Canis lupus familiaris: one gene and its partners. The protein of the gene in region 2 interacts with the protein of the main gene of each other region in a pairwise test. Links are inferred from orthologs where the notes say so. Each region holds a gene or a part of one and is shown on either strand. Other genes may lie near its edges. The genes, in order: KATNBL1, MFAP1, BICD2, CEP70, TLE5, CARD9 and TRIM54.

The links.
Region 1: the proteins of MFAP1 (region 2) and KATNBL1 interact in binary tests that used the Homo sapiens proteins (3 or more experiments, as listed by UniProt). The link is inferred for Canis lupus familiaris from reciprocal best matches to the Homo sapiens genes MFAP1 and KATNBL1.
Region 3: the proteins of MFAP1 (region 2) and BICD2 interact in binary tests that used the Homo sapiens proteins (3 or more experiments, as listed by UniProt). The link is inferred for Canis lupus familiaris from reciprocal best matches to the Homo sapiens genes MFAP1 and BICD2.
Region 4: the proteins of MFAP1 (region 2) and CEP70 interact in binary tests that used the Homo sapiens proteins (3 or more experiments, as listed by UniProt). The two-hybrid records come from large-scale screens. The link is inferred for Canis lupus familiaris from reciprocal best matches to the Homo sapiens genes MFAP1 and CEP70.
Region 5: the proteins of MFAP1 (region 2) and TLE5 interact in binary tests that used the Homo sapiens proteins (3 or more experiments, as listed by UniProt). The two-hybrid records come from large-scale screens. The link is inferred for Canis lupus familiaris from reciprocal best matches to the Homo sapiens genes MFAP1 and TLE5.
Region 6: the proteins of MFAP1 (region 2) and CARD9 interact in binary tests that used the Homo sapiens proteins (3 or more experiments, as listed by UniProt). The two-hybrid records come from large-scale screens. The link is inferred for Canis lupus familiaris from reciprocal best matches to the Homo sapiens genes MFAP1 and CARD9.
Region 7: the proteins of MFAP1 (region 2) and TRIM54 interact in binary tests that used the Homo sapiens proteins (3 or more experiments, as listed by UniProt). The two-hybrid records come from large-scale screens. The link is inferred for Canis lupus familiaris from reciprocal best matches to the Homo sapiens genes MFAP1 and TRIM54.

The regions. Positions count from the first base shown.
Region 1 is NC_049251.1:1,191,595-1,195,342, reverse strand, and holds part of KATNBL1 (KATNB1-like protein 1), read right to left. Parts: coding exon 3,670-3,748; intron 2,035-3,669; coding exon 1,941-2,034; intron 436-1,940; coding exon 403-435; 3' UTR 1-402.
Region 2 is NC_049251.1:10,836,803-10,840,550, forward strand, and holds part of MFAP1 (microfibrillar-associated protein 1), read right to left. Parts: intron 3,444-3,748; coding exon 3,314-3,443; intron 3,044-3,313; coding exon 2,856-3,043; intron 2,336-2,855; coding exon 2,227-2,335; intron 2,127-2,226; coding exon 1,966-2,126; intron 674-1,965; coding exon 514-673; intron 1-513. UniProt on the Homo sapiens protein: Involved in pre-mRNA splicing as a component of the spliceosome.
Region 3 is NC_049222.1:99,449,159-99,452,906, reverse strand, and holds part of BICD2 (protein bicaudal D homolog 2), read right to left. Parts: intron 2,628-3,748; coding exon 2,193-2,627; intron 1,723-2,192; coding exon 715-1,722; intron 597-714; coding exon 445-596; intron 1-444. UniProt on the Homo sapiens protein: Acts as an adapter protein linking the dynein motor complex to various cargos and converts dynein from a non-processive to a highly processive motor in the presence of dynactin.
Region 4 is NC_049244.1:35,272,743-35,276,490, forward strand, and holds part of CEP70 (centrosomal protein of 70 kDa), read right to left. Parts: intron 3,200-3,748; coding exon 3,112-3,199; intron 3,021-3,111; coding exon 2,932-3,020; intron 1,817-2,931; coding exon 1,742-1,816; intron 1-1,741.
Region 5 is NC_049241.1:56,585,930-56,590,457, reverse strand, and holds the start of TLE5 (TLE family member 5), read right to left. Parts: upstream 2,813-4,528; 5' UTR 2,719-2,812; coding exon 2,692-2,718; intron 1,954-2,691; exon of another isoform or gene 1,858-1,953; intron 1,657-1,857; coding exon 1,559-1,656; intron 1-1,558. UniProt on the Homo sapiens protein: Transcriptional corepressor. Acts as a dominant repressor towards other family members. Inhibits NF-kappa-B-regulated gene expression. May be required for the initiation and maintenance of the differentiated state.
Region 6 is NC_049230.1:49,108,790-49,112,998, forward strand, and holds the start of CARD9 (caspase recruitment domain-containing protein 9), read left to right. Parts: upstream 1-1,380; 5' UTR 1,381-2,840; intron 2,841-4,075; 5' UTR 4,076-4,076; coding exon 4,077-4,209. UniProt on the Homo sapiens protein: Adapter protein that plays a key role in innate immune response against fungi by forming signaling complexes downstream of C-type lectin receptors.
Region 7 is NC_049238.1:21,321,946-21,326,378, reverse strand, and holds the start of TRIM54 (tripartite motif-containing protein 54), read right to left. Parts: upstream 3,021-4,433; 5' UTR 2,657-3,020; coding exon 2,489-2,656; intron 1-2,488. UniProt on the Homo sapiens protein: May bind and stabilize microtubules during myotubes formation.

The DNA of each region.
Region 1 (3,748 bases), about 9.6 Mb from region 2:
TTTTTTTTTAAGTCCTGTCTTCTTTTTGACACAGTATAAATTATATTCTTAAACAAGATTGCATTAAGACCCAGTAGTTCTTTTTTTTTTTTTTTAAGACCCAGTAGTTCTTAAACAATGTTACCAAATAATCATATAAATCCCAAATGCAGCAAAGGTGAACCATCCTCATAGTGCACTTTCACCTCACTGAAGTTGAAGCTGCTCCTTTTGGATATTTTCCCACTTCAATGTGAAGTAGATTGTTAGGTTTTCATTAGTGGTTTCATATGCGGCTTTTTAAAGAAAAAAAAAAGTTTTTATTTCTTCCACAGTTCACAGTTCTCAGATGAAAATTCTTTTTGGAAAGCTCAGTCTAGGGATGTTTTGAATAATCAAATGCTCTTTAATAGACGGATTCTCTCAATGCAACTGTAATAAATAAGCGTCTACATCCTTAGAAAACAAAACAAAAACATTTCATTAGCTGGTACGGCAAATACACAGATGCACACCCCATTTTCCTCTCCCTTTTTGTCACTTGACTTGCTTTTGCTTTCTTTTGTGACCTTCTGAGGGTAAAAAATGTGTCTTACTGAATTAAGCTGTATTTTGTTTAGCCAGGGTCTGGCTAAAAGCATACAGCACATTCTCAATAAATGTTTAAGTGTTGAGTGAATGCTTTGGTTCCTGTGATCAAACAACTCTGCTTTTATAGTGAAGCAAGATCATGAAATCACTTCCAGCAATTCCTGCAGTGTTATATAAACTCTAGGCCAGCTTGATGACACAGCCTTTCTGATTTCTACCCTGGAAAAATTAACAATTGAGGGTTTAATACTGTAAAAGAGGTTTTTATCCCAGTTAAAGGAACTTCACAGAACTTGTAATCATTCACTATTCTATTCAATAATAAATATAGTATCTTAAGGTCATAGTCACAATAAAGCTTCTCTGGATAAAAAATTGCAATTGAAAACAAATTTCTAAGGAAACAATATTTTTTCAGTACTAACAAGAATGCAAGGTGCCTCCAGAATGAGGTGATATATGATGCATGCTCTATATCCATTTTCTATCAAATTTTACTTTCTTTTCCCTCCCATTATTGAAAGAACAAATTAAAACAACAAAGCACTGGGAAATTGATTTTATGACATTTTCATTAAGAATTCTACAAAGTAAAATTACACACACTTATAACACACTTGATACATCATTTTGCTTCTTTTCTTGAAGGTATACAAGTAGAATATCGCAACTAAGCCCATAACATAATTATCTCTTACTTAGAATACTGTGTTTTTAAACTAAAGAATGCTTGTATATTTGTAATTAATGCCCATTTATGCCCAGTAAACAGGTGCAAATATTTCTTAACAGTGATTTTTTTCCCCCTGAAATTATATTTCAACTACCAATGTTTTCTGGAGTTTAAATATTAAAATCCAAATTAGCAATGTGCATTTTCCTTTAAGAGATAAAAAAATAAAGACTAATGTCAAATTTGTACTGTGATTTGAACATTTACTTTCCCAAAAGCATGACATTAGCAAAAGCCAAGTAAGAATTAATACCCTGAAACCACTTGATCAGGTTCCTCATCCCCTTGCTTCCTGAGTGTCCCTATCTTTTCAAATGTCTTCCTAACCTGGGTTCTTAACCTTTTCTCTAATGGAACTAGTTCATTAAATTCCCTCTAGCACATCATTTCCACAGCTATATCTGAAACATATTCAATGGCTAATTCCTGTGTTTCTTGCAAAAGTCATATTCATACCCAGAGGACCTTAAGCATTTGTAAATATGAAACTGACTTTAGGCCTTATTAGAATAATACTATATTGGATATTTGAAAGACTTCCTTTATGGATGCATAATACCAACATATTATTTCTAATATTTAATTAAGCTTAAATAGAGATTTTAAGCTTAACTTTTTAAGCTTAAATATAGATTACCTTGGCTATATTACCAGTGTATCCTGGAACCAAAGTAAGATGGTTTTCCTGTTCCCATAATCCACTTAATTGTTGTTTTAAAATCTGAATATTTCTATGAGAAAATAAGAAAAAAATGCAAATATAAGAATATGAACATAGTAAATACACTTAATGAACAGTTTTTAAAATTTCAAGTATTTATCAGGAGAATTGTACCACTTGAAATCAAGGAGCTATTTATTTATTTATTTATTTATTTTCAAGGAGCTCTTTAAAATAATATTTGCAAATCATGGAAATGATTTAAATGATTTACTTATTTTTTTTTTTTTTAATTTATTTGTGATAGTCACAGAGAGAGAGAGAGAATGAGGCAGAGACACAGGCAGAGGGAGAAGCAGGCTCCATGCACCGGGAGCCCGACCTGGGATTCGATCCCGGGTCTCCAGGATCGCGCCCTGGGCCAAAGGCAGGCGCCAAACCGCTGCGCCACCCAGGGATCCCTTACTTATTTGTTAAAGCAGGAAAGAAAACCAGGCATTTGGAGCATTTGGGCAACCTGGTCTTGGGTTGAAGTGGGAAATTTTTGAGAGCCTAGAGAGAAAATCTTTAAGAAGATTGTTGGGAGGGACACCTGGGAGGTTCAGTGGTTGAGCGTCTGCCTTCAACCCAGGGCATGAACCCCAGGGTCCTGTGATTGAGTCCTACATCAGGCTCCCAGCAGGAAGCCTGCTTTTCCCTCTGCCTGTGTCTCTGCATCTCTCATGAATAAATAAATAAAATCTTTAAAAAAAAAAAAAAAAAGAAGATTGTTGGGAGATAATTTTTTGCAGCTTCATGAATCTGGCTCATTTGGTAGAATGCCCATACATTTTTACATCAAGGCGATACTCAAATTATGATGATTATAATACAGTTTTTAGAATTACAATCATCCACATTTGATTCTCAGGTTAATGTCTAGGTAGTCAAAAGACTTATAGGTTGCAGGATGCTTCTATCCCTGTGCCTCAATACTTAGTCCACCAGAAGCCATCTCTTTTTTTCTCCTTTACTCATTGTAACAGATATGAGGGTTAAACAACTACTGTGCTTTTTCCCTCCTAAAATGAAGTGTAAGGTTCTGTCAGAAAAAGAGAGGGGATTACTGGGCTTTGGAATTCAACTTCCATGTATAATTTTCACATGTGAACACTATTCCAATTTAATATTTCTCTGAAGATAAAGAAAATCAGTTATTATTTAATGATGATAATGGAATAGAATTATTACCTAGTTTATTTTTATTTTTTAAAGATTTTATTTACTTATTCATGATAGACAGAGAGAGAGAGGCAGAGACACAGGCAGAGGGAGAAGCAAGCTCCATGCCGGGAGCCCGACGTGGGACTCGATCCCGGGACTCCAGGATAGAGCCCTGGGCCAAAGGCAGGGGCTAAACCGCTGAGCCACCCAGGGATCCACTTATTACCTAGTTTAATCAAATGGCTTTTCTTTTTTTTTTTCAAAGATTTTATTTATTTATTCATGAGAGACACAGAGAGAGAGAGGGAGGGAGAGAGAGAGATGCAGAGAGAGAGGCAGAGGCACAGGCAGAGGGAGAAGCAGGCTCCACGCAGGGAGCCTGACATGGGACTTGATCCCAGGCTGAAGGTGGCGCTAAACCACTGACCTACCCGGGCTGCCCTCAAATGGCTTTCTGAAAAAAATTTTATTAGATTGAGTTTCTCTTTAAAGATATACTCACCCATCATTTATAATTTCTGTTTTGGATGATAGTTCTGACCACCACCTTTTTATGACTGCTTGAAGCCAGTTTAAGCCAA
Region 2 (3,748 bases):
GTTGACCTTGGTTTTCATGTGAAGAACAAAATCTTGATGGTATTACACATACTGGCTAGATAATAAACTTTTTCTTTTCTTTTTTTTTTTTTGGTTAGTCACTTTGTCAGCTCAGATTGAAGGGAATTAAATTTCAACCTCCCAAATATTTGCATAAGCAAAATTCCTCACTCAGCTATGAATAGTGATTATCTAATTAATTTTGGGGATTTAAGTAGTCTATATCTATATACATAGATCACTATTTTAGTTCCTCAATTCTTCTATTACACACCATTTCCTCCTGATATCTGGGCCTGAATGGAGAACAGTGGCTGCTACTTCTAAAATCGTGTTGTCAATGCTTTTTTCTATTGGATTTATATTCTTTAGAGGCAAAAATAAATGAGAACACTGACCATTGGCAAGTAGAAGTAACATCCCAGGACAGTTTATTCTTGGGGGGAGAAAAGAACTCAAAAGTTCCAAATTATTTCTATAGCCCAAACTTCCCATTCCCTTTTGACTCCTTACCATGAAGAAGGCACCCCGGTGATAATACTTCTGTAAGAACTTATATTTGCCCTTAACAGCTTTGTTGGTAATGACTTTGCCATTTGCCCGAAGCTCAGCTCGCCTCTCTTCCTCAGTCAGGTTTCGCATTCGTTCAATTTCTGCCTTCTCCTTCTCAAGCCTGTGTGGAGAACAAAACTATTAGTATTATTCCAGTTTCAGAGAGACTCAATTATCTGAACTTAATGCAGTCTCATCTTTCAAGCATTATTCACCTTCCTTAATTCTAGTCATTGCCTATTAGGAGTTAAGATTAGGAGCCCAACAAATAAAAAGGTGAAATGGTCTTATTGTAAACTTCCAATAGTCTTTATAAGGTTCGGACATAATATTACTACTTGACTTTGCAATGTTAGTAATTTCCCTTCCCTAAAAAGCCTACTTGGCTTTAAAAAAACCCAGAATTTAACATAACTGTGTTAAGATTTAATTGGCATTTTTTTAAGTAATTGTGTATGTACATACATGACAAACCAAGGGTTACCATCATTAATTAGATTGCAGTGACTAACCCTTTTTGGGGGGAGGGGAGCCATATATCCCTTGTCTCCAGAAAAATACAAATAGACATAACTTTGTATATGATTTTAAAGGGTACATGCACTCCTTGAAACCCAGGATAAAAATCTTAGAAACTGCAGGCTGAGGACAGAGTTTTCTATTCATGGTTTCCTTTTGTAATCTGGGATTACCCTCTCATTCCTAGTAATTTTTAAGAATGAGTGATGCAGCTCAGAAATGATTCTGATCTAACAATACTGACTGTGGTAGAGTATTTAAAGGCCACAAATTCTTCCCCTCACAATATGCATGCCCCTTTGCAGAAATGACATATAAGCCTCAAAAGACCTTGGCAGTTTCCACTTTTGTCCTCTTCGAATACTGCCATGAGGCTGTTTTATAAGGAAGCCGATCTAGCCCACTGAAGAAGTGAGGCAGGTTAGCATTAACTATTGGACATGTGAATGAAACCGTTTTGGACACTCTAGCCCAGTTAATTCTCCAGCTGGATCCAAGTGCATTAAGAGAGCCCAGGTGAAACCAGCAGAGGAACTGCTTAGCGAACTCCAAAACTGTGAGGAATAATCAACAGTTTCAAGTCACCAAATTTTGGGTTGGGTTTTTATGCAAGATTGGATAATTAATAACAGTGAATAACTTGTGTGTGCCTACTAGGAAACTACAGGAAGTATTCACTGGCACTCTATCAAGAGAAACACTGACAGAGTGTTTCTTTTCACTAATTTTATTAGAATAAGCCACATTACAATTATGAGAAACTCACTCAGTTGCAGGAACCCTAAAGAAAGCTAGAATGGAACTAACTCATGGTAGGTATTGAGCCTCAGAGTTACCCTAGTAGTAACCTGTCCCATTATTGATATTAAACTACAGGCCCATCTTATTACTTACGCTTCTCGATCTTCTCGGTCTCTCTTGATTCTCTTTAGCTCCCGAACTTTCCATGCCTCATATTCTTCCTCATCATTTTCATCATCAGTATTGAGAGCATCCAGTGCAGCCAAGGACCGCTTGTTCTCCTCCAGCTCTTTTTTGGTCTCCTCTTCTACAATCTGGGTAAAGAGAACATTTAACTGTTGGATCTCCTTATTTTCCTGACAAACCTAAGTATACTCCTCCTTGCATGCAATCCTTACAGCCACTCCCCAGTACCTTGAGTGTGTACTTGCGCCTCTCCTCAGCCATGCGTTTTGCTTCCTGCTCCAGCTCCTTCTGTTTTAATGCTTCAGCCTCCCGTTCTTGAACTGTTACTCGGTCCTTCCTGCAACAGAGAAGTCCTGTTAATTGCCCAAAGTCCTCAGAGTGGACCTCTTTGTCTCTAGCTTAAGTCCCATCCAAATGAGACAAAGCCCAATAATCGCTGGCTCTATTATTTGCAAACAGCCAAAGTTGGGAGTCATCCTAGGTATTTAAAGCATTAAAATTCCATTCATCTTTGATAACTGCCTGAATAGCAAGAACCTTCTGGATTATAAATTGTAAGATTTCTTGCCATTAGAAAAGGACCAGGAATTCACTTTTCAAGTTTAATTTTGTGCCTTACAGGACTGTGGGGAGATTATATGCTCTTTAAAAAGGGAGTTATGAGCACGTAACTCAGGTTCTCTGTTAATACCAAGATATTCCTCAGCAAATATTCTGCATAGATAGGGAACTGGGCAGAAGACTTTCACTTACAGCTGACATTTCAGAAAAGCCTGAGAGAGGAAAAAAAGGCTTCCATCTTCAGACATGGAAAGTAGTAACTATGTGGAATCAGGCCTGGTTTATGACATACTTACTTTCGAATGAAGACAGGTTTTAGGCGAGGCTCCATCTCATCTTCACTGTCTGTGTACTCTTCATACTCAGATTCTGATTCTGACTCCTCCCCAGAACGTCCCTCATCTTCCACCTCCATGACTTCCATCTCTTCATTTTTTCTCTCCTGTGCTCGCTGACGCATCATGCCACGGCGCCTCTCTATTTCCTGTCAAGTCATATGTCCAAGTCAGTCAGCCCAATGACCTGTGCTCTAAGGCAGCTTTTTATTTTCCCCTCAGCACATTTAATAAATTCTGTTATAACTAAATACAACTTAGCATCATTTTATTTTTAATTCTATCTCCAACAAACGGGGAACCACTGGATCAGGGTTCTGCCAAAGTATCAAATTTGTGCCTTTGGAAACTCAACAAAGGAGAACAGGCCCCAATTTTTCTCGGACCCAGAAAGAACTTCTCATTTTCCCTTTTTATACCTCATCATCAATTTCTTCCTCTTCTTCTTCACTGCTATCCTCTCGTTCCATGCGCCATGCATCTCCTTCTACTTCTGAGTCACTTTCACCTACCACTTCAGGTTCTACTATTTTCCGATGTCGAGCCAATCTGAAAAACAGCATCTTCAAGTATAACACCAATGTCACAAAAGTGAAAGAGCATTACCCACATTTCCTTAGTCTTAGAGCACCTGGAGGTTGTTTGCCTTTATTAATAGTGAAGTCTTGAGAGAGGGAAACTGAGGGACAGAAAAACGAAAATAATTCATGGGGCACTTGGGTGGCTCAGTGGTTGATTGTCTGCTTTTGATTCAGCTTATGATCTCAGGGTCCTGGGATCGAGTCCTGCAACAGGCTCCCCACAGAGCCTGCTTCTCCCTCTGCCTATGTCTCTGCCTCTCTCCGTGTCTCTCA
Region 3 (3,748 bases), on a different chromosome or scaffold from region 2:
CAGCAGCCTCTGACCAGATTCCAGCCCCACCTCACCCACAGCCTCAAGGGCCCTTCTGGACCACGAGGGCCCGTGCCTGCCCGACACCAGCCAGCAGGGGGGCATCGTGCCCCTCAGCGCAAACACCTGAACCCAGGCCCCCGGGCAGGCCTGCCCTGACTTCCTGGCACAGGCACCTGGGCTGCCGCGTCCACAGCTGGCTGCCCTCCCCAGCTCAATCCCAGCTGGCAGCTCACACCCCAGGGTCCACTGCTGTCAGGCAGGGAACCTTCCTGGGGAATCTGTAGACTTCTGCCGGGTTCTGAGGGTGGACTCCGCCCTCACGCTGCCAGCCCACCTTGGGCCGTGGGCTCTCAGCCTCCTCCTGTTGCATGCAAAGTGCAGGCGACACTGCAGACAACAACCCTGGGGGCTTCCACCTGGGGCCAGAGCCGTGGGCATTACCTGGTGGCAAACATGGCTCGCAGGGAGGAGAAGGTGGCCGCATCTTCCTTCAGGGCCTTCAGCTCGTTACGCAGTTTCATCATGGTCTCGGTCACCATGGCCTTCTCGTTCTCGTACTTGCTCTTCAGATTGGCCAGAGCCACCTCCGCTGTCTGGGGGTCAGACACACAAAGGGCAGGGGGTTGAGACACATGGGGAGGGGCCCTCCGTCTCCTCGAGCTGCTGTCCGAGGCCCAGGGAGGGACAAGACCCGCCCGCCCAGCTGCACACCTGCTTGTTCGCCTTGAGCACCGTGCGCAGCGTGGTGATCTGCTCCCGCTTGGTGCTCAGCAGTGACTTCAGCTTGAGGATCTCCTCCATGAGTGCCTCCCGGTCCTTGTCTGCAGCAGGGCCCAGCTCCTGGGAGGCCAGGCGCTGCCGCGACAGCTCCGTGGTGCGGTCCACGGCCGCCTGCAGATGCCTGATCTGGTCGCGGATGATGGCGATCAGGTTATAGATGTTCATGGGCTCCCGGCGTGGGTCACTCAGAGGGGAGGGCAGAGAGGGGCTGGGCGAGGGGCTGCTGTCCCCCGCCCCACCTTCCGTGGCTGGCGGCCCTTTGGGTAGGACGGGTGAGCGGCGCCCACGGGCTTCAGGGCTGCAGTGGCCAGCGCCAGCCGGGCCCTCTCGGTAGTAGTCCAGCACGACGCGAGTGGGAGTCTCGTTGTTGCACATGCACACATGGTGGTACAGGTTGGCCAGCTCTTCACTGAAGGTCACCAGCTCGTCCTGGGCCACGCTCAGGCTGCCCTGTGTCTCACCCGCAACGTCACTCACCTTCTTCAGCTCTGCCTGCAGCCGGGCCAGCAGCTCGCGATCCTGGCGGCTGGCCTTCTCTAGCAGGGAGACCTTCTCAGTGAGCGCCTGGCTCTCAGCCTCGTGGCGGCCCTTCTCCTCAGCATGCCGGGCCTCACCGGCCTCATGCTCACCACGCAGGGCTTTCAGCTGCTCGCGGAGCTCACCTGCCTCTGCCAGGGCCACACGATACTTGCAAGCCAAAATCTCAGGCCCATTGATGTCCACCTCATAGTAGTCCCCGTCCTCATGGCTGTCACGCTCCTTCTCGCTGTCCAGGGCTGTCCGCCGCTCCTTGCTGGCCTGCAAGCGCCGCAGGGCGGTAAGGTTCTCTGTGAGGCGGCTCACTTCCTCGCGCTGCTCCGAAAGGGCCCCCCGCGCCTGCTCCAGCTGCTTCTGTGTGTCCTGCAGTGATGCCAGCAGGCCCACCTTCTCCCGCTCCATCTGCAAGAGCACAAGAGCCCCATCATCAGCCCACCGGAGCCCAGAAAGACCCAGTGGTGACCCCGCCGGCACCACAGCTATCCCCCTGCAGGTCTGTGCTGTGTGTAATGAGGGTGCCATGTGTGGGGCCTCGATGGGCCCCTCCTTGGAGATGTGTGGTAAATGGGGGTGGGCCATGCTACAGATCCCAGAACTCTGTTCTATACAGGGCGGGAAACTCTGACATGACATGTCCAGAGGACGCAGCTGCAGGAGATCGCCTGTGAGCCCTATGAGGCAGCAGGAGGGAACCTGCAGAAACCCAGGCTGTACCTCCCCTCAGCTCTGCAGCTCCACTGATGCTAGCAGTGTAGACTCCATAATAAATACTAGCAAGAGGGGAATGGGGCACCATGAGAGCAGAGCTGGAGCAGGGAATGTGCACAGCCGCCTCAAGGCCCTGTGGCTGGGACGACCCTGGCCACCCGCACCTGCATCAGCTGCTGCTTCAGCTTCTGGATCTCAGAGATGTTGAGCTCGCTGAGGAGGTCAGACACCAGGCTGGGGGAGGGCGGGGCGAGACCGTCCTTGGAGGGCGTGGAGGTCCGGTTGTCCAGCGGCAGCTTGGCCAGGCTGGCATGTTCGAAGCCGTTGGCCAGGGCCTCTGTGTCGTCACCGAGCTTGAGGCCATCCAGGGAGACATGCAGGTGGCTGGTGTAGAGAGAGTCGTTGATGCTCATGTAGTGTGACAGCTCCTTGCGGAGGCTGAGCTTCTGCTCCCGCTCCGTCTTTAGGGTCTCCAGCGCCTCCTCCAGCTGCCGCTCCGAGATCTCCTTGAGCCTGATGGCATCCTCCAGCTGGCTGTTGAGGTACTCAGTCTCCTCCTCCAGACGCTTGATCTCGTGCTTGAGGCCCTCAAACTCCACCTGGGGAAAGAGCGACAGCGTCTTGTGCCTGCACAAAGGGGAGGCAACAACAGGGCTCAGAGCGCCACTGTCAGCAGAGCCAGGATGCTCCTCAGAGCCACAGATGCCACGGAAACCAGAACGCATGTCTCTGCTGCAAATGCTGCAGATGTCAGGCTACTTACAATGTTACTAACTGCGTCCTGACTGTAGATTCCACAAAGTTACTTAGTGAACATTAATTGTTAATTGAATATTTTAACAAATATAAAACATGTACCACGACCATCACTTGTATTCCGGAATCCAGAGGGACCCCGACCCGGAGGCTCCCCAGGGGAAGCGGAGGTGGGGAAAGAATCCAGAGCTGCATGTATCTGGAGGTGGATGAGGGGGTAAGTGCGGACAGACACCAGTGCCTGCAGTGGGGACTTGGGAGTCTATGGGAAATTTAAAAAAAACATTTCTTATTCCAAAAAAACAAAAACATTTCTTATTCTGTCATATTGGTGCAAGAAATAAGGAACAGACCACTTATATGTGGGCCCGAGAGGACCTTAGGGACTCACAACTTGGGGCAGGGGGAGGCCCGGGGAGGGGCCAGCCTCCACCACCTGCCACCAGGGCCTAGTCCAGCATCACGGCAAGTCTGTTGTGTGGCCCGAAGCAGGCGCTCTGTGCCTGGTGTCATGCTGCCGACATAAACACCCGGGCCATGCCCCCCACACAGATGGAAACGTCCAGGGAGGTTAGGGGATCCTGGGGACATAGGTGGCAGGTGTGGCCCTGGGATACCACCTGGATGTCCCATCAGCAGTGGCAGTGACCTTCCTTACCCCGCTGTCAAAGAAGCCTTCTCTCATCCCACCTATTGCCGGGGTGTCCGAGCCCTGACACGTCCCTGCTGGTCCTCACTGCCCATCGGCACCTCCTGGTCAGGACCTCAGACAAGGGGCTGGCAGACCACGGACAGTGGGAGGGACGGGTCCAGGGCTCCAGGGGTCATGGGTGCATCCTGCTACTGCTGCGGACAGATGGAGCTGGACAGCCTGCCCCTGGGCTCCGGTGTCCCCTCTGCTTCACCTCTGGTATTTGTTTCCTCAGGGGCTGACTGGGGACCCCATGGCCACCCCCCACCCCGC
Region 4 (3,748 bases), on a different chromosome or scaffold from region 2:
ATATAATCAAATGTAATGTCTATCTACACCTTCTCCTCTTTTTACCTCCCTCCATCATCCTTTTTCCAGTTGCTTCTCAACCAATTTTCCTATCTTATTGAGATACCAATAACTATATAGTTATTTAGGCCTGAAACTTAAAGGAGTCTTGATTCCCCTCCCCGCCCTGTGAGATGCCTATATCCAATCCATCACCCAGTCCTAACAGTTCTACCTTCCAATATTCCAAACACTCTCACCTCTGCTGTTATTGCCCCATGACCATGTCACCACCGCCTCTTGTCCAAATTCACACAACAGACTATTTTACATTTAGTAATTATATTACATCAAAATGGTCTTTTTCTTCATTGTCCTTATCTCCTCATGTAATCTCCATGAGGGCAAGGATCCTTTCTATTTGGCTTATTACTGCAATTCCAGTACCTAGAATGCCAAGCACATAGCAGAAGTACTAAATGTGCCAAAAATACTAAGGAGTAGTAGGAAGGGGAAAATATTAAGTGAGCTAAAGAATGCAGTCTTTCCGAAACTTCCATTTCTCTTCTCTTTTTTAGTTTTTCTTCTGTACTATCTTAATTAACTCAGTACATTAATCCTTGGATCTCCAGAATATTTGCCTTCACTATGGCATGTGTTGCCACAGGAAGGAAGAAACACGGTTATCACTGAAAACTGAATCAACTTATGCTAATACAACTGATTTAATACATCTAATGCATATATTAGCTCATATAGTTTTCAAAATATTTCCTCCCAATGCTCCCCGCACTACCTCCTCAAGTCCCATTCCCTTGAATGAAAAAGTACACCTAGATTATCTTCAGAAAATCCTACTACTATTCAGGACTAACTTTTCAAACTCCTCTGAGACTGTGCTTTTCAAAGTTAAGAAAAGTACAAATAAGTGATGGATGTGAATGGCTCACTCACTGCATTCATTCTAAGTACTTTTAAAGTGTGATGAGGCTGTGTATTATTCAGGCCATTACTGGCACCAACAAAAATTGAGAGCTCATCATGTATAATTTCAATGATTCACTTACAATTCCACTATGGCTTCCAAAGACAATTTTCTAGTTACAATATTTGCCCTTATTATATCAGGCAAATGCTGTCTTTTGTTCTCTTTTTTTTTTTTTTTTATGATAGTCACAGAGAGAGAGAGAGAGAGGCAGAGACACAGGCAGAGGGAGAAGCAGGCTCCATGCACCGGGAGCCTGACGTAGGATTCGATCCCGGGTCTCCAGGATCGCGCCCTGGGCCAAAGGCAGGCGCCAAACCGCTGAGCCACCCAGGGATCCCTGTCTTTTGTTCTTAAGATAAATACATAGCCAAATCCAACACAGTAGAAACTGTATTAAAACTGTGGAACCAGGGATCCCTGGGTGGCTCAGTGGTTTAGTGCCTGCCTTTGGCTCGGGGCGTGATCCTGGAGTCCCGGGATTGAGTCCCACATCGGGCACCCTGCGTGGAGCCTGCTTCTCCCTCTGCCTGTGTCTCTGCCTCTCTCCCTCTCATTCTCTCTGTGTTTCTCATGAATAAATAAATAAAATCTTTTCAAAAAAAAAACAAACAAACTGTGGAACCAAAAATACCCTTTTACGACATTTTCCCCCATCATCACTCTGGTAATTTCAAGCCAAAGCCACCATGAGGTAAGTATAAAGTAAATTTAAAGGTAATAAAAATAAAAATATAAAACCATAACAAATCTGTAACTTTGGTAAAATAGAATTACTTGATGTTTTTCTTAAGGGCTTTCTCCAGTTTCTTCACCTGTTGTTTATAAAGTCTTAATTCATGCTGTGTGGGCCTGCAGAAAATAAATCACATTGAATTGCATTTTATTGAGTAAAACTATAAAGATATTTAATAAATAAGGTATGCCATATTACTTGTCACAAATATGCTTATTAAAAAACTTAAAATATTTCATGACTGTCAGTGAGGTGTTTATTGGCCAATGAATGTCTCCTTCCATGTATTCTTGGTTCAGAACTTTTTACCCATTTTTCTTGTTAATCTATTATTTGCTTTTATGGAGAAATATTTCAAATGTACAGACAAGAAGAGAGAACAGTAAAATAAATAATGGTGTACCCACTACTCAGCCTCACCAAAGTTAAATATTAACAGATTTGTTTTCATTTTTTTTTCAACTAAAACATTATACACATACTTAAAACTCCATGTGTGTCCCTCATTAGGTAACCACTATCCCAAATTCACTATTCATTATTCTCATGCATGTTTAAAAATTTTTACTACATATTTATATAACCATAAATTTACATATCATCATGTGGTAGGTTTTTCTAAACTTTATATAAATGGTTTCTACTTTAGTTATTAATTCCTTCTCCATTAAAATATAATCTTTATGAAACAAGTTATTATTTGGTCATTATATTACACCACAGCTTAGGACAGTGTCTAACTTATAAGAGGTATTCAACAAACACTTCTTAAATGAAAAAAATCTTAACAATGTTCATTCTTTATTATTCCCTGACAAGACACAGAGCATCATCCTTTTGTGGTGGCATGCTATGCATAAATATACCTTGTATACCATTTAAACTTTTTAGTTTTCTTCTTTCACAACACAGGGACTAAGATAGAAAACATTCTAAAGAAATTTGGGAATGGGAAACCTGCTGATATAAATCTGAATATATTCTGTGCTCCTACCCAGCTTTATCTCTTTCAATGTGGGCTCCTTTATTCTCACTTCCCTTTCCTACCTACATGTGATCTTGTTCCTTCCATCATATGAGATACAACTAACTAAAATGAGTGTAAAAAAAATATGAAGTTTCCAAGATTAGTTTTACAGTAAAGGAGCTAGAAAGATTCATTTAACATCCCAAATTCCAATTTGTGTTTACTTTCCAAAAACTAAATAAAAATGAGTCAAGTTTCTCTCACCTGGTTTCCAAATCTTTTTGGAGATTCAGCTTCTCACTTAAAAGTGCATCAATTTTGCATTGCGATTCCCTGAGTTGATTCTGTAATGACTTCAACACATTTCATAGAAAAATAGTTAATTTTCCTAGATTATTATTTTACTTTATAAAAACGTAATTATTAGCCATGTAGTCCCCATACCATTAGAAGGCCTTTATAAGTCGGTGAGGCATCCAAACTTCTATAGTCTTTTTCTTCTTCTGACTGACTTTCATCTTCTTTATATTGCCTATGAAAAGATACACGATGTGTACTTCTTACAAAAAATCTATCTTCAAAGGAAAAAATATAGCTAACAAAAGTCAACCCTGAAGTGTCTGAGAACCTAAACATGAATTAAAATTTAAGCCAAATTTCCTATTTGTTCTCAGAGAGAATGGTATTAGAAGATACAACTACCCAATATTACAGTACATATTTGTTCACTACCACCTTAATTAGAACATAAGATCCATGTAGACCAGAATTGTATTTTGTTCACCATTGCATCTCACTGCCTAGAAGAGTATAGGGCATAATGAGGATGGAAAAAAAAAAAAACTTTTTGAATGAATAAACAAAGCATACTGTTTTTCCTTTCTAGTACTTTTAGGTCACCAAAAAACCTTTATGAAAAAAATAGAGTCTGAGTGGACAAGGCAATAGATTTAACAGTCCCAATTCAAATTGTGACACCATTAACATGATGCCATTCAAATAGGTCAATCTCTCAGTTTGTCTTCTGTCACAGAAGTATCTATCACATCTACCTCACAGTATTGGTGTTAAAAATAAATAA
Region 5 (4,528 bases), on a different chromosome or scaffold from region 2:
CTTGTCTCTGCATCTGTAGGGACTGACCTCCCAGGGTGGGGGTGCTGAGAAAAGGAAGTGGATGAAGACCAGAGAAGCTTCTAGAACAGCGCCTGGTATACAGGAAGCACCTGATACATGCTTGACCTTCTGGTCAGTCATCCCAGGGGCCTGGCATCTTCGCTTCACCAAAGTGCTTACGACGGGTCTGCCACTGTGCATGTGGCTATGGGCCCCACGTGTTTTTTCTCCCCCTTTCCTTAAAAAACGCTATTTGTGGATACCATTGGGGGGAAAAAAAAACAATCAGGCAATTTCACGCCAAACTCTGAATTTCTGGCCCTGTTTGAGGGTCTGGCAACTCCTGTGTGTACCCACCCCATGGGAGGACCCCTCACAGTCCAGAGAGAAACCCAGGTCCACCGGGTGCAGACCCCAAGGTTCAGAGAGGGTGTCGGGTTTAGCTGAGGACACACAGCCCTGTGACGGCCCTCTGACCCCCGGCTCTGGGGTTGTCAGGCCCCAGGGCTCACTACGAAGTGGGGGCGCTCTGGAGGGGCTCCGAGAACCCAGGCCTGCCCAGCCCAGGCCCTAAATGCTTCACATCAGGGACCACAAACAAAGTTCCTGGGGCCTGCCTTCAACTGCCAGTGCCTCAGTTTCCTTGTCTGAGAAATGGGCACAGTTAAGAGGCCCACAGCGGGGAAATGCTACAAGAGGACATCGGTTCAGCATCTAGCACATGGGGAGTGAGGAAAGTCGCCTTGAAAGGTGAGATTTTTTTTAAAAATCTATCTACAGATCTGGATCTCGCTGTTTTTCTTTCTTAAAACCCAGAATCTGTCTTGGAACCTGTCTGCGCAGGCCAACAGGCCTAGAGAGCCGCTGGGGTCTGCGACCGTGACCGAGGACTCCGGCCCGATTCCCAGGCAAAGCCCCCCGCCCCCCAACAGCCTTGAGAATCTGCGTTCCCCAACCCAGAGATTACGGGCACATCTCGGCCTGGTCTCAGTGCTGTGCATCCTCAGGAAATCTCTGCCCTCTCTGGGCTTGACGTTCTTAAAGCATGAGACAAAGACAGCACCGGTCCAACCCCTCCATGCTGCACTGCGCAAGCCCTTTACGGCGCCAGAACGTTAAATTCTGGGGGAAGAGCCTCCTTGGAGAGTCTTGTTGGGAGCCGGGAACTCATTCCCCAAAACTAAGCAGAGAAGAGACAGGACAGGCTGCGGAATGTTTTCTTTCCGGGGTGGGGGGTCCATCCTCCACCAGGCTCCTTGGGAGGTCTTTTATCCACGCGGGGGGATTGGGGTGGGGGTGGGGAGAGGCCCTCTGAAGCCACACAGCCCCAGTGTCTGGACAAATAATTTAACTTTCTGTGCCTCAGGCTTCTTACCAGTGAAATGGGTTGTCTTGAAGTCTACGAGTTTAATATCCGGAAAGTGCTCAGGACAGGGCCTACCCCGTACCAGGACGCTCTCGGCCTCCATTTCTTCAAATAGGTGTATAAAGCAGTAACCCCCCCCAGGCCTGGGGGGCCTCCCCCCCCAACCGCCAGGGCCTCTGGCCCCCAGCTCACCTGTGGTACTGAGCCTGCAGCAGCTGAAACTCGTCTTTGATGCGGTCGCAGGAGTCCGAGGTGGTGAATTTGAGTTGTTGGGGTAGGTGAGAGGAGCCCTGCGGGGAGGGGGCGGCCGGGTCAGGGCCCCGCGGGGCGGGGTGACCCCCGGGGCAGGCGCAGCTGCAGCGCCCCCCCCCCCCCGCCCCACTTCCCGGGCCCGTGTTTACAGCCCCTGGCGCGGCCCCCGCCCTCGCTTCCTGCCCCCGCCTCTCCCGGGGGAAGGCGAAGGGGTGGGTGCGCCCGGGGCCGCCGCGCTCCCCGCCACCCCCAGGCTGTGGGGGTGCGTTAGCAGGTCCGCCCTCGGCGGGGGGCGGCGCGCGCCCTCTACCGCCCCTCGGAAGCGCCGGAGGGAGGTGCAATCCGAGGGCCCCAACCGCCTCTGCGGGAGGGGGGCCGGCGTCCTGGAGGCCCCCTCCCCAAGTTGGTGGGGGTGCCCGGCCTCCCCGAAAAGTCCCCTTGGGGAGGGGGCCTCTCCCGGCGCCCGAAATCACCCGGGGGGGCGTCCGCCCCAGATTCCCAGCACCCTCCTGCCCGGCCGCGTTCTTCCGGGAGGGGTGCGCCTCGGATCCCCCCTCATCCCAGGCCTCCAGACCAGCCCCGGAGCTCGCGGGGCCCGGCGGGGCTCCCGGGGTGCCCCAGGCCCGAGGCCAAGGCCGCCCGAGGCCCGGCCTGGCTGGGGCGCGGGGGGGGGGGGGCCTGCCCCGGGGGCCGGGGGGAGGAGGAATCCGGGCCGGGAGCCGGAGGGGACCGGGCCTGGGAACTAGGGGGGATCCGGGCCGGGCGGGGGGAGCGGCCGGGACCTGCGGGGGCCGGGGAGCCCGGGCGGTGGGGGCGGGGGAGCCGCGCTGGGCCCCGCGCCGGAGTCGGGGGAGGCGCCGAGCAGGGAGCTGGGGATGGGGGGGCGGCCCGGCCGGGAGCGGGGAGGGCGACGGCCAGGCCGGGACCCCGGGTGCCAGGCGCCGACCTGGGGAGGCGCGCGGGGCCCGACCTGGGGGGGGGCGGCCGGCAGGGGACCTGGGGGGGCGCGGGCGCGGGGATGCGGGGCCCCGACCGGGGTGGGGGGGGGCGCCGGGCCGTCGGGCCCCGCTTACCGAATGCCTGCTTTGTGGAAACATCATGTCAGTCGCGGCGGGGGGCGCGGGCTGCGCCCCGGTTGTGCGCCCCGGCTCGGGCGGCTCGGGCGGCTCGGGGCGCCGGGCGGCCGCGCCTTTGTCCCGGCGCCGATCGGCAGCTCCCGGGGCCGCCGCCGCCGCCTCCCGCGCCCGGCCTCGCCCGCTTCCTGCGCCCCCTCCCCGCGCGCCCGGCCCCGGCGCGCCCCGGGCCCCGCTTCCTGCGCGCCCGGCGCCCCTCCCCGCCCCTCCCCGCCGCCCGCCTCCCCGCACGCCCGGCCGCCGCTCCTATTGTCTAATGGCGGCGGCGCCGGCACTGGCCGCGGCCTCGGCTCGCGGAGGCTCCGGCTCCACCTGCTGCCGCCGCCGCCGCCGCCGCTGCTGCTTCCCGGGCCCCGTGCGCGCCGCCGAGGGGGGCGCGCGCCCGGGGAGGCCTGCGGATCCCCACCCAGCCCGCCTCCCGCCGGCCGGCGCGGTGACCTTGGGCTCGGCGCGCCCCGCCCCGCCCCGCCGCGGCCCCTCCCGGCGGGGGGCGGCCGGCCGCGGGCCTCGGTGTCCCCGCGCGGCGAGGAGGGCCCGCCGCCCCCGTCTACACCGCCGGCTCCGTCATGGCGCGACCTGGACGCGTGCCAGGGACGCGCTCCGTAACCTTGGCCCGCGGGCCGGCTGCTCTGCGGGGAGGCCGCGCTGACCCCGCCGCCCCCACCCGCGCACCGCGCCTACTGTGTGCGGGCCCGCTCGGGACCTGGGGGTGGGGGCGGGGTGTGCGCGCGCGCGCGTGTGTGTGCGCGCGCGTGTGTGCAAAATCCCGGCCTGGTGGAGATGGCAGGAGACAGACCGAACCCCCAGCTAGGGGGCAAATGAGCCAGCGGGGAGGGCCCGGAAAGTGCGATTTGAAACAGAGGAAGGTCAGAGAGGCCTCCTCAACCGCAGAGGACCTGAAAGTGAGAGACAGCCCTGGAGGGGGGGTGGGGGGAGGCAGGAGTAGCAAGTGCAAGGGCCCTGAGGCAGGCCCAGCCTAGCACTGGGGACGGCGCAGGGAGGCAGGGCCAGCAGCTTCACACCTTGGTTCCCACTGGAGGCCTGCGCTCTGAAGGGCCTGTGCGGGTTCATGGCCTGCTGCGCTGGTCTGGAAATTCCTAATAGTTTTCCAACAAGGGGTCCCACAATTTTTGTTTTTAAGATTTTATTTTTTATTTATTCAGAGAGAGAGAGAGAGAGAGAGAGGCAGAGTCACAGGCAGAGGGAGAAGCAGGCTCCATGCAGGGAGCCCGACATCGTCGGACTCCATCCCGGGACTCTAAGATCACACCCCGGGCTGCAGGCGGCGCTAAACCGCTGCGCCACAGGGGCTGCCCCGGGGTCCCACAATTTTGTTCTGCACTGGGCCATGTGAATTCTGTAGCGGGGCCGGCGGCATGACAGATGGTGCAGGGCCTTGGGGGCGGTGGGGGGTTTTACTCCAAGGGAGGCTCTCGAGGCAGGAGGCCGCGACCCCCCCACCAAAGGCCCGGCCAACTGGGATTCTGATAGGATCACTCTTGCTGCCATGTGGATAACAGGCCCCAAAGAAGTTGGTGAACTAATGCCTGGTTAGCCCGGCAAGTGCTAAATACAGTCTCTTAATTACCACCACCATCGCTGTCATTATCGACTATGCCGCTTGCCTCTCCGGATATCTGTGACTTCTCTGGGCCTTGGGTTTTCCCCGTCTGCAAAACGGAGACTTAGGACCCCAGACACCTTTCCTGGGCAGATGGAAGGCCAGACGAATATGAGATAAATAAGCAAAATTTAAGGCTTCCTCTGCCCTCCCCTC
Region 6 (4,209 bases), on a different chromosome or scaffold from region 2:
GGTTATACAGGCCTATGGGAGCCGTTTGTGGGGAGGGCCATGTAATCCCTCTCCCCTAGCTACACCCTCGCCCACTGGGTTGCACACTCCAGGCTCTGGTGCTTCCTTCTTGCTGACCCACGTGTGCCTCGGGGCCTTTGCACTGCTGTCCCCTCTGCCTGGCCTTCGTCCATGTCTGTAAGGCTTGTTCCCTTATCCCAATCATGTCTGCTCAGTGTTTGGCTGTTCAGAGATGCTCTCTCTGCCTGTTCTCTTGGGGCAGTACCACTGTCAATGTCTGTCTTGCTAGCACTGTCTCTTCTACACCCGACATGGTTTACATGCGTGTCTGCCATAAACGTGAGCCCTTAAGGGCGGTGATATGATTTGGTTTTTGCTGCCGGGTCCTCAGTGCCCAGAGAGCAGGCATCAAGTAGGCCCTCAGTACGGATTAGTTGAGTTCATGGTGCAGAGATCCCATGTGGGGGAAGATGTCTGGTCTACAGAGGTGGGAGCCAGCTCCTGCGAGTGTAGTGGGGCTGCGCCCTGAGAGGGTCCACAGAGGGGATGCTGGGGGTGGGGGTGGGGGCATCAGAAGCCCACCCAGGCTCTAGGGCCTGCCCTCAGCATGGCCCCCTGCATGGACTGCAGGTGGGCAGCCAGACCCGGTTCTGCGCCCTCGGAGGAGGCCTAATGCCACCTTTGGTTCCTATCCTACAGCACCATCTCTGGGGTCTGGCTGGGGTCAGGGTGTCCCCACCATCTGGGCATCTCTGTGTTCCAGGAGGCGGGAGCCATGCTGGACCCCAGTGAGCCCACCTGCCTGTGGAGCCCAGCTCCAACCCTCCCGGAGGAAGCAGCCTAAAGCAGTTGGAGGCTGGGGGAGGCTTCGCCGTGTGACCGTGAAGCCACTGGGGCTTGGCTAGTCCTCCAGCACAAATCGGAAGGAATGTTTGAAGGAATAAAGTGAATGGCTTATTTTTTTATTAAAAGGCAAGCCCCAGATTCTTGTTGCCTTAAGAGACTGGGCAGAGGGTTGGGGCTCCCCTGACCGTGCCAGGACCCGGATGGCTGGGCCCTGAGGTCTGAGGAACCCCCTGAGCTCCGGGCCACCGTGTAGGACGTGGGGAGTGCCCTTTGCACAGAACACGCTTGTGGCTCAAGCCCCAGGGCCTGCCAAGAGCTACCAGGCAGCTGCTGCCTTGGTGGGGCCACAGGGAATGGGGTGGACCTGCCTCACTGCCTTCCTGACCACACCGCCGACCCAGGCAGGCATCTGGAACCAGCGGCTGCCCGCCTGCCCACAAGTCACGCAGCGGCCCCAGGCCGGCATTGCCTTCCTCCTGAGCAGCTGCTTCTTGGTGGGAGGCCAAGCCCCAGCACCCTTGGTGCTCTGAGGGACGCGGTGCACAGCCTTGGCTTTGGTGTGCAGCCTTTTGAGGTGCTTGGTTCTAGAGGCTTCATGCCTGTGCTCTCCAGGTGTGAGCATGCCCTGGGGTGCTGTACCCACCCACCAGGGGGCTGACCCACCACCGTGCAGCCTCATGCACAAGCTCTTAGCTTTTCAGTTTGCACCTGGGGCTTTTTCAGCTCGTTTCTGCTTTCCTTGGGGGCTCCTTTAGACCTATGGCTAGTTAGAGGTCTCTTATTTTATTTTCAAACGTTTAGGGATTCTCCAGTTAGCCTTTTGTTATTGATTTCTGGCTTTTGATACAGAGAACAGAACATTTCTGTCATTGAATTCTTACCAACACCCCCGTGGGGGAGACACCCTTTATTAATTTGCTTTTGCAGAGCAGGGAAACACTGCTGGTCATAGCTCCTGGAGGGCCCAGGACTGGCTGTTCTGGAAGCGCGATGGCAGCCTCCATCCACCCAGGGTCAGAGGTCCGAGAGCCTACAGGCGGGGAGCCTGTCAGGCAAGAGGCAGCTGCCATGGGAAGGTGGGGCTGGGAGCCCTGCTCAGGACCATCCTGGCCTTTCCCTAGCAATTGCCTCAGCCTGGCAGCCAACAACTTGGACCAACCGGCCCAGCTGCGCCAGTGAGGCCTTGGCCTGGGGGTTTCCTGGCAGACCCTGGTCTGGAGGCCTGCTATCCTGGCTATTGGGTGCAGCTCTGATGGCAGAAACAGCCCTTCTGAAACTGGTTTGCGGGGCCATGATGAGTGGCCTGGGAGCCTGCTGTCACAGTCCCGAGTGTCCTAGTAAAGAGGTTGCTAAGTGGAGACACTCCCAGGAAGGGATAGGGTGTGCAGTGTAGCAGGGGCCGGTGGCCATGTGGGGCAAGCACGGACAGGCCACAGTGGGGTCTCCAGCCACATGCCTTCTGGACGCTACACCAGCCCTCATGTGATCAAGGCCCGGCTGGCCTACTGTGTGTGTGGGCATCTGGCTGAAATCCCAGAGTTAGGCCTGAAGCCCTGGGATCTCCTGCACTTTGCAGAGGGCCCACGCTGCAGGTTCCCAGCCAGCCCCTGGTGGAGAAGCCTCCAGAAGCCTGCGTTCAGGCCAGAGCGGACTAGACAGTGCATTGGCCTCATCCAGCTCCGGGGAGGGTCCTTGCTCACACTTCCACTTAGTGGATGCCAGGGGTGGGCCTCCAGGCCTCTGAGCAGGACTTCCACTTCCCTCTGCCCCGCCTCTTGGGCCCTGCCAGGCGGGCGAATCAGAAGGCAGGCCCAAGGACCCACTCCCTCTGGGAGGACCTTCCCGGCTCTGTGGAGCTGAGCAGCACCATCAGGAAGTGCACAGCTTTTCCTCCTGAGCTCCACTGGGCTGCCAGCAGCACCTCCTGTTCATCGGATCAGGCCAGCCTGGGCTGACCAGTGTCCACTGCACAGGTGCCTCTCGAGGACCCTGAGGTAGGCTGGTTGGCTGCCCTCTCAGGGTGGCCAGGAAGACACCCATCTCTCTGCTCAGGGCTCCTGGGGCACATACCCCAGAAGAGCACCCAGGGCCTCCACTCCTGCCCTGTCCTTCACAGCCACCTGAGACCTGCTTGTTCAGCTCGGTGGAATTAGAGGCAGGGGTCAGGTGTGGGACCTGTGGATGTAGGTGGGAAAGGCAGGAAGCGGGCTGAACGTTCCAAGGGCCATCCACTGAGTTGCTGGTGTCTCTCTGGCTGGATGGTGTGGCCAAGGGCTGCAGGAAGTTCAGGAAGCTCCTCCAGAGGCCCTGCCTGCTGCCGTCTGTCTCTGGGAGTATGGCCTAGCTCCTCTGGGTGGCAAACCTCCGCCCACAGTTCCTACGCTGGCTGAGGGCAGTCTGAGGTGGCAAGTCAGGGTCTCTGTCCCCACCACTGGGAGGAGGCTCCTGGTTTGGCCCAGGCCTCGAGCGTGGTCTGTGCCCGCCAGTGGAAGGGAGCAGCAGTGGGTAGTCCCAACACGGATGGCCCTGGTCAGGGAGCTGGCACCCTGCGTGCCCAGGAACAGGGAGAGGAGCCCAGAGGTGGCTGGTGCCTGGTCCCTAGGAGTCTGCAGAGGGCACAGGAGCGGCGTGGGTGCTGGCCATGCCAATGCAGCTGGGCCCCTCCTGGTGCAGCGGTCCACAGCTGCCCTTCCTGAGCCAGCCGGTGCCTGGGCCACTGTTGCACCACCAGCCAGCCGCCGGAAAGAGAGGAGGCGGTGGGGCTAGGCCCTGAGCAGGAGCCATGTCCAAGAAGGAGGAAGTCCTACAGCAGCACAGGCTGGCGTGTACGTGGGCAGGTCAATGCCCCAGGCGTGCCTCCCCAGCCTGGGCGCCTACCTCCCTGTACCTGCCAGGGAGGCCCTGCCAGTGGGTACGAGGTGGTGGTCTGCCAGACTCACGCTTTAGGGATGGGGGTGCAGAGGCCAGAACAAGGCCACAGTGGGGGGGGGGGTATTCTCAGATGCCGCCAGTCCCTGAAGCGCCTCCACATCTTCCCTCACACTTATCAGGGTGACTTGGACAGAGAAAGCCTAGGTCACCTGCTGAGGGAGTGGCTGCAGGGTCTAGAGAAGGCCGGGAGGGCTGCCCTGGCTGAGCTGGTGCCCCGGTCAGAGCACCAGCGCAGAGGAGGGAGGGCCAGGGCGGGTGAGGCTTCACACCTACCTGTCCTGGACTCCCCTGGGCCCAGCATGCAACTGTCCCTGCCAGCTGCTCTCCCACCAATCGCAGCGGTGGCCGCCACCATGTCAGACTATGAGAACGAAGACCAGTGCTGGAGTACCCTGGAGAGCTTCCGAGTGAAGCTCATCTCCGTCATCGACC
Region 7 (4,433 bases), on a different chromosome or scaffold from region 2:
TTTGATCTCATGATCCTGAGATCATGACCTGAGCCACAATCAAGAGTCAGAAGCTTAACAGACTGAGCCACCCAGGCACACTTCTGCAGCCATTTTAAAATGAAAATGCGGATCTGAATGTGTGCAGATGGAACAACTACAGAAAGAGTAAGTGAACAAAAGCAGATTTAGGACAATGAGTGTAATTTAAACACACAAACATAGGTGGACCTATCCATGGAAAATCTCTGGGAGGGTACCCAAGAAAATTGGAAATGGCTACCTCTATTTGGAGAAGGGAAGTGAGAGCCTGAGGTAGTCATTTTTCATGCTATAAACTCCTATACTATTTTTTAAAGTGTGTGTGTGTGTGTGTGACACTGTAACTTTTATAAGTTCTATTAACTTTCTAGGCAATGTTCTCAGGGTATTCTTCCTAAGTGGTTTTAAGATAGAGTTACCAAAAGTCTTATTCTTGTTCCCATACTTAGAAAACAGACAATCTGATTATGCCTACAGTTGTCAAAATGTGGAGGCAATGTGTGAAAAAACTAAATATGCTCATCTTTCAGAGGGAGAACTACTGAGATGTATATACATAAGTGCAGCCAAAGAACTGGGTCAGCCTCCCACCAGGCTGCCCCAAATAAAGCAGAGCAAGGAAATGAGCTGTTCACTCTTCTCCTTGGTGGGGGATGCCCAGGGGTGCTCTGCACTTTAAAAGAGACATATCAGTCCAGATCCACAGAACCATCTCAAAGTTCTGGGAACCATGTTGTTTCCCAAACATTCTGCATAGGGTTCAGCCCAGTCTCAGTTCTCTCTGGGTCCAATCAGTATTTCAGAGCTTTAAGGCACCAAAATGGTGCACCTGGATATAGAGCACTGACTAGAACAAGGGAGGCCACTTAAACATTCTGTAGCCTCCATACAGAGAGCTTTTCCCTGGGACCCTCTGCCCGATGATACTATATGCTTCGTACTTTGATACTCTGGTGGCTTTTTTTTTTTTTAATAGGACAGATTACCTTCACTTTCAAAACTTCTCTTTGCTTTCATGTATTTCCAGATCTAATGGAAAGATGTTTCACTACAAATTCATGAAAAGTGATGGCAAAACCTTGTTGCCATTCCCTCCTAGGCATCTGACTGAAGGATGTTCAGAAATGTACTTAGCCTGAGGAAAACTAAAATAGTGGGCAAGGCGAAGCCTCTAGTACATGACTTGATGTCCAGGATAAGCAGACAGAGCAGTCAGCCCTTCCCAGAGAGGGAAAATCCTTGGCTCTGAGATATTCTGGAGCCAAACAATGTAACGGCAGGCTAAGACACAGAAGAATAGGAGATGGGAATGGGCTTCAACAGGAAGATGGCAGACTGCCAAGGATAGGTCACAGGGCACAGCTATGGGACAGCCTGACTTAGCCAGCCCATTATTTTTTCCCAAACATGCTGCCCCAAAGAACAAAAAAAAAAAAAAAAAAAAAAAAAAAAAAGAAGCATTTTCTTGGTTAACTTTAAAATCATTTGCGTTCAACACATTTCTCCCTGAATTCTGATACAGGTGAAGAATATGTGTTAGTGATGTTCCTTAACACTGCCCTGCCTACTAAGCTAGCTAGCTCTGGTTTATTCAGATATTTTACTTCATTTGCAAGGGGTGTGTGTGTGTGTGTGTGTATGTGTATGCAACTTTTCCCCTTACTTTCTCTGATCTTTCTTCCAGTGGCAGAGGTCAAAATAGAAAATCCATTTATAAACCATTCTGGTATATGCTGCATTTCTTTTTGAAACCAGTAGCTAAAATGACATCTGTGAATTTGATTAGCTATGCTTTGCCCCATGACCGCACATAAACCAAAGCTGGTTGCATTTCTCTACATTCTCTCTACTTAAGTGACCACAATGCTTTTTAACCAGCAGGCCCCTTTATTGACCAATCTGGAGTGGGGCACAAGTGTGAACTTTAGTTGGGGAGAATTCCCAATCTCCTACCCACTCCCACTCTGCCCCAAAAGATGGATGTGTTAAGCTTGGCCTCAAATACAAATACTTTCATCATGGACTGTGCTCATAGGGCTTATTTTTTAATGTTTCATTATCTCATTGATATTTTCTCCAAATCTTCCATATCATTCTCAAAATCTGAAACTCTAGACTGGAATAGAGAGTCCAGTACAGATTGTTAAGCAGCTTAGGGTAGGACCACCTCCCTCCCAGTTTCTAGTTTCTATGGGGGTCTTCTCTCTTCTGCAGATACCAGCTTTCCAGCTGCTGTCCAGGCATGCATAGGCTGTCCTTGCCAGCCTGCAGAGCAGTTGCTGACTCATGCTTACTTTGGGATCTACTAGGACCCCGAATCTTCTGCTCTTCCGCCAGGACAGACACCACCCACTTCATAGAGTACTCTGCCCCATCACCTTCTGGTCTCAGCTCTGACCTGATGAGAAGTCTCCCACAAATCTACACTGCTTTACCTGGCCCTGCCCTCCCCCGATCCCTGGCCCACCTGGAAGACATCGTTGGCACACTTTCGGCACAGGTTGTGCTGGCAGGGCAGGATCACCACCGGTTTGGAGAACATCTCCAGGCAGATGGGGCAAATGAGCTGCTTCTCCAGGTTGTCCATGCTATGTGCATCCCCTAGCAGCGGCTTGAAACCCACTGTGAAGTTCATCCCCTCAGCGATTATGCCTGCCCTGGCCTTGGCCCTAGTCCTGGCCTTCCCTCACTGCCCCTGGACCCTTCCTCGTTTACTTTAGACAGCCCGTAGATTCTTATGGTCCCTTCTACTGCTCACTCTTGAAATAGGTCTGCTATCTCTCCTGTCCCTTCCTCCAACAATTCACCTCGTCTTCAGATAGCTGTTTTCAGATACTTCTCTTTATTCCTTGCTCTGTACCCCAGCCAGGCACATGTAGCTTTATCTGTCCCTCCCTTCCTGAATGATTCTGTCCCTGAAAATTTCTCCTTTTGTTTCCCAAATGATTCTTGTTCACTCTATGGGCAGTACTGTTTGTCCCTCACTTCCCAGAGAGGAGATTAATTTTAACATGGGGGTGGGGAACAAGGGGCATCTGCATGACATTCCAACTCCCAATTTAGCTCATGTAAGGCGAGCCACAGCTGTCACCAAGTGAGTGACCCTGACTCACTCAGGAATGGGTGACTCTCATAAGAGCAGGAGTGAGCTCCACTCTTATGGTGAAAGGTGGGTCTGCAAAGATGTCAAGCTCTCACGCTCAGTAGGCTCTGGTGAGCCCCTGACCCCCATGCTCTGGTGTGGGCTCTTCTTCTAGGGCAACAATGCAGAATCTAAAATGGCCTGGATGAGAACCATACATGGCTCAGGGTGGAAGGAGAGATCTCAAAACCTAGTCAGGACCTCCAAGGCTCAACCTGTGATCCTCACCCTGTTCCGCTGAACCCTGTGATTCAAAACAGGGGCATCAGACACTAGAGGGAAAGACTCTGGTCCAAAACTTCCGGTCCATTCTTGTTCTTGCCTAGAACTTTCTTGTATCACCCTAGGAAAAGAAGCTAAGGGCGCTAGAGCTGGCAGCTGCCCCAGGGCCTGGAACGACCTCATGAGCATGCCTCTGAGAAAGTGTGGGAATCTGGTCCATGAACACATCACTGGAGCAACTCCAAGGACTTTAAATTTGTTGGGAAATCAAGAGAAGTTGAGCTGAGCAGAAAGGACCCGAGTGCCAGGAACCTATTTTGGGCACCAGGGGAATTGGTCTCCAGGGAAATTTTAGAGCACTGACAAAGTCATAATCACAAGGCTCCAGGAAGCCTCTGCCCCAACTCTATAGTTGTTCTGGACTCCTCCTTTCCAAAGCAGGCTGGTCTCAGATAGGGGCACCCACCCTCTGTCTTTTTCTCCCATGGGCCTTTTGCTCTATCCCAGGCATGATTCGTCTTTTTGAGGTCCAACAAATGCATTGGGTTGGACAAAAAAGATCGTTTATTTACTGACATTTCTTAGTCCCTCTCCCAGTCAGGAGAGAGAAGTTTGAGGAGTTACTCAGTTCTGACCTTGGGTGGATGGGAAATAAATGGTGTGGAGAGGTTACCAAACAGGCAATATGAAGAGGCACGAGTGGGGAAAGGGTCTGTAAAAGTAGTATCTTTTCCCTATAAAATGTTTCATGCCCATTTTAAGAACAACATATATGGTGATAAGCCTGCATAAGATGTGGTAAAAAGGATGGAGGCAAGCAACCACTGATGTATGAACTTTGGTCAGCCCACAGGACCCATGGTGAGGAGTGTTGTGCTGTGGTGGAGTCCAGACAGAATCCAAAGGTGAGATAACTACCTCTACACCTCAAATGCATTCATAATTTGCCTGAGCTGAGTCATGGTGGCATAGAATGAGGCTGACAACATCAAGTGCATGGGCACCAGGAGAAGTGAGACCAGCCCCAGAAAGGTGTGCTGGTTATAGG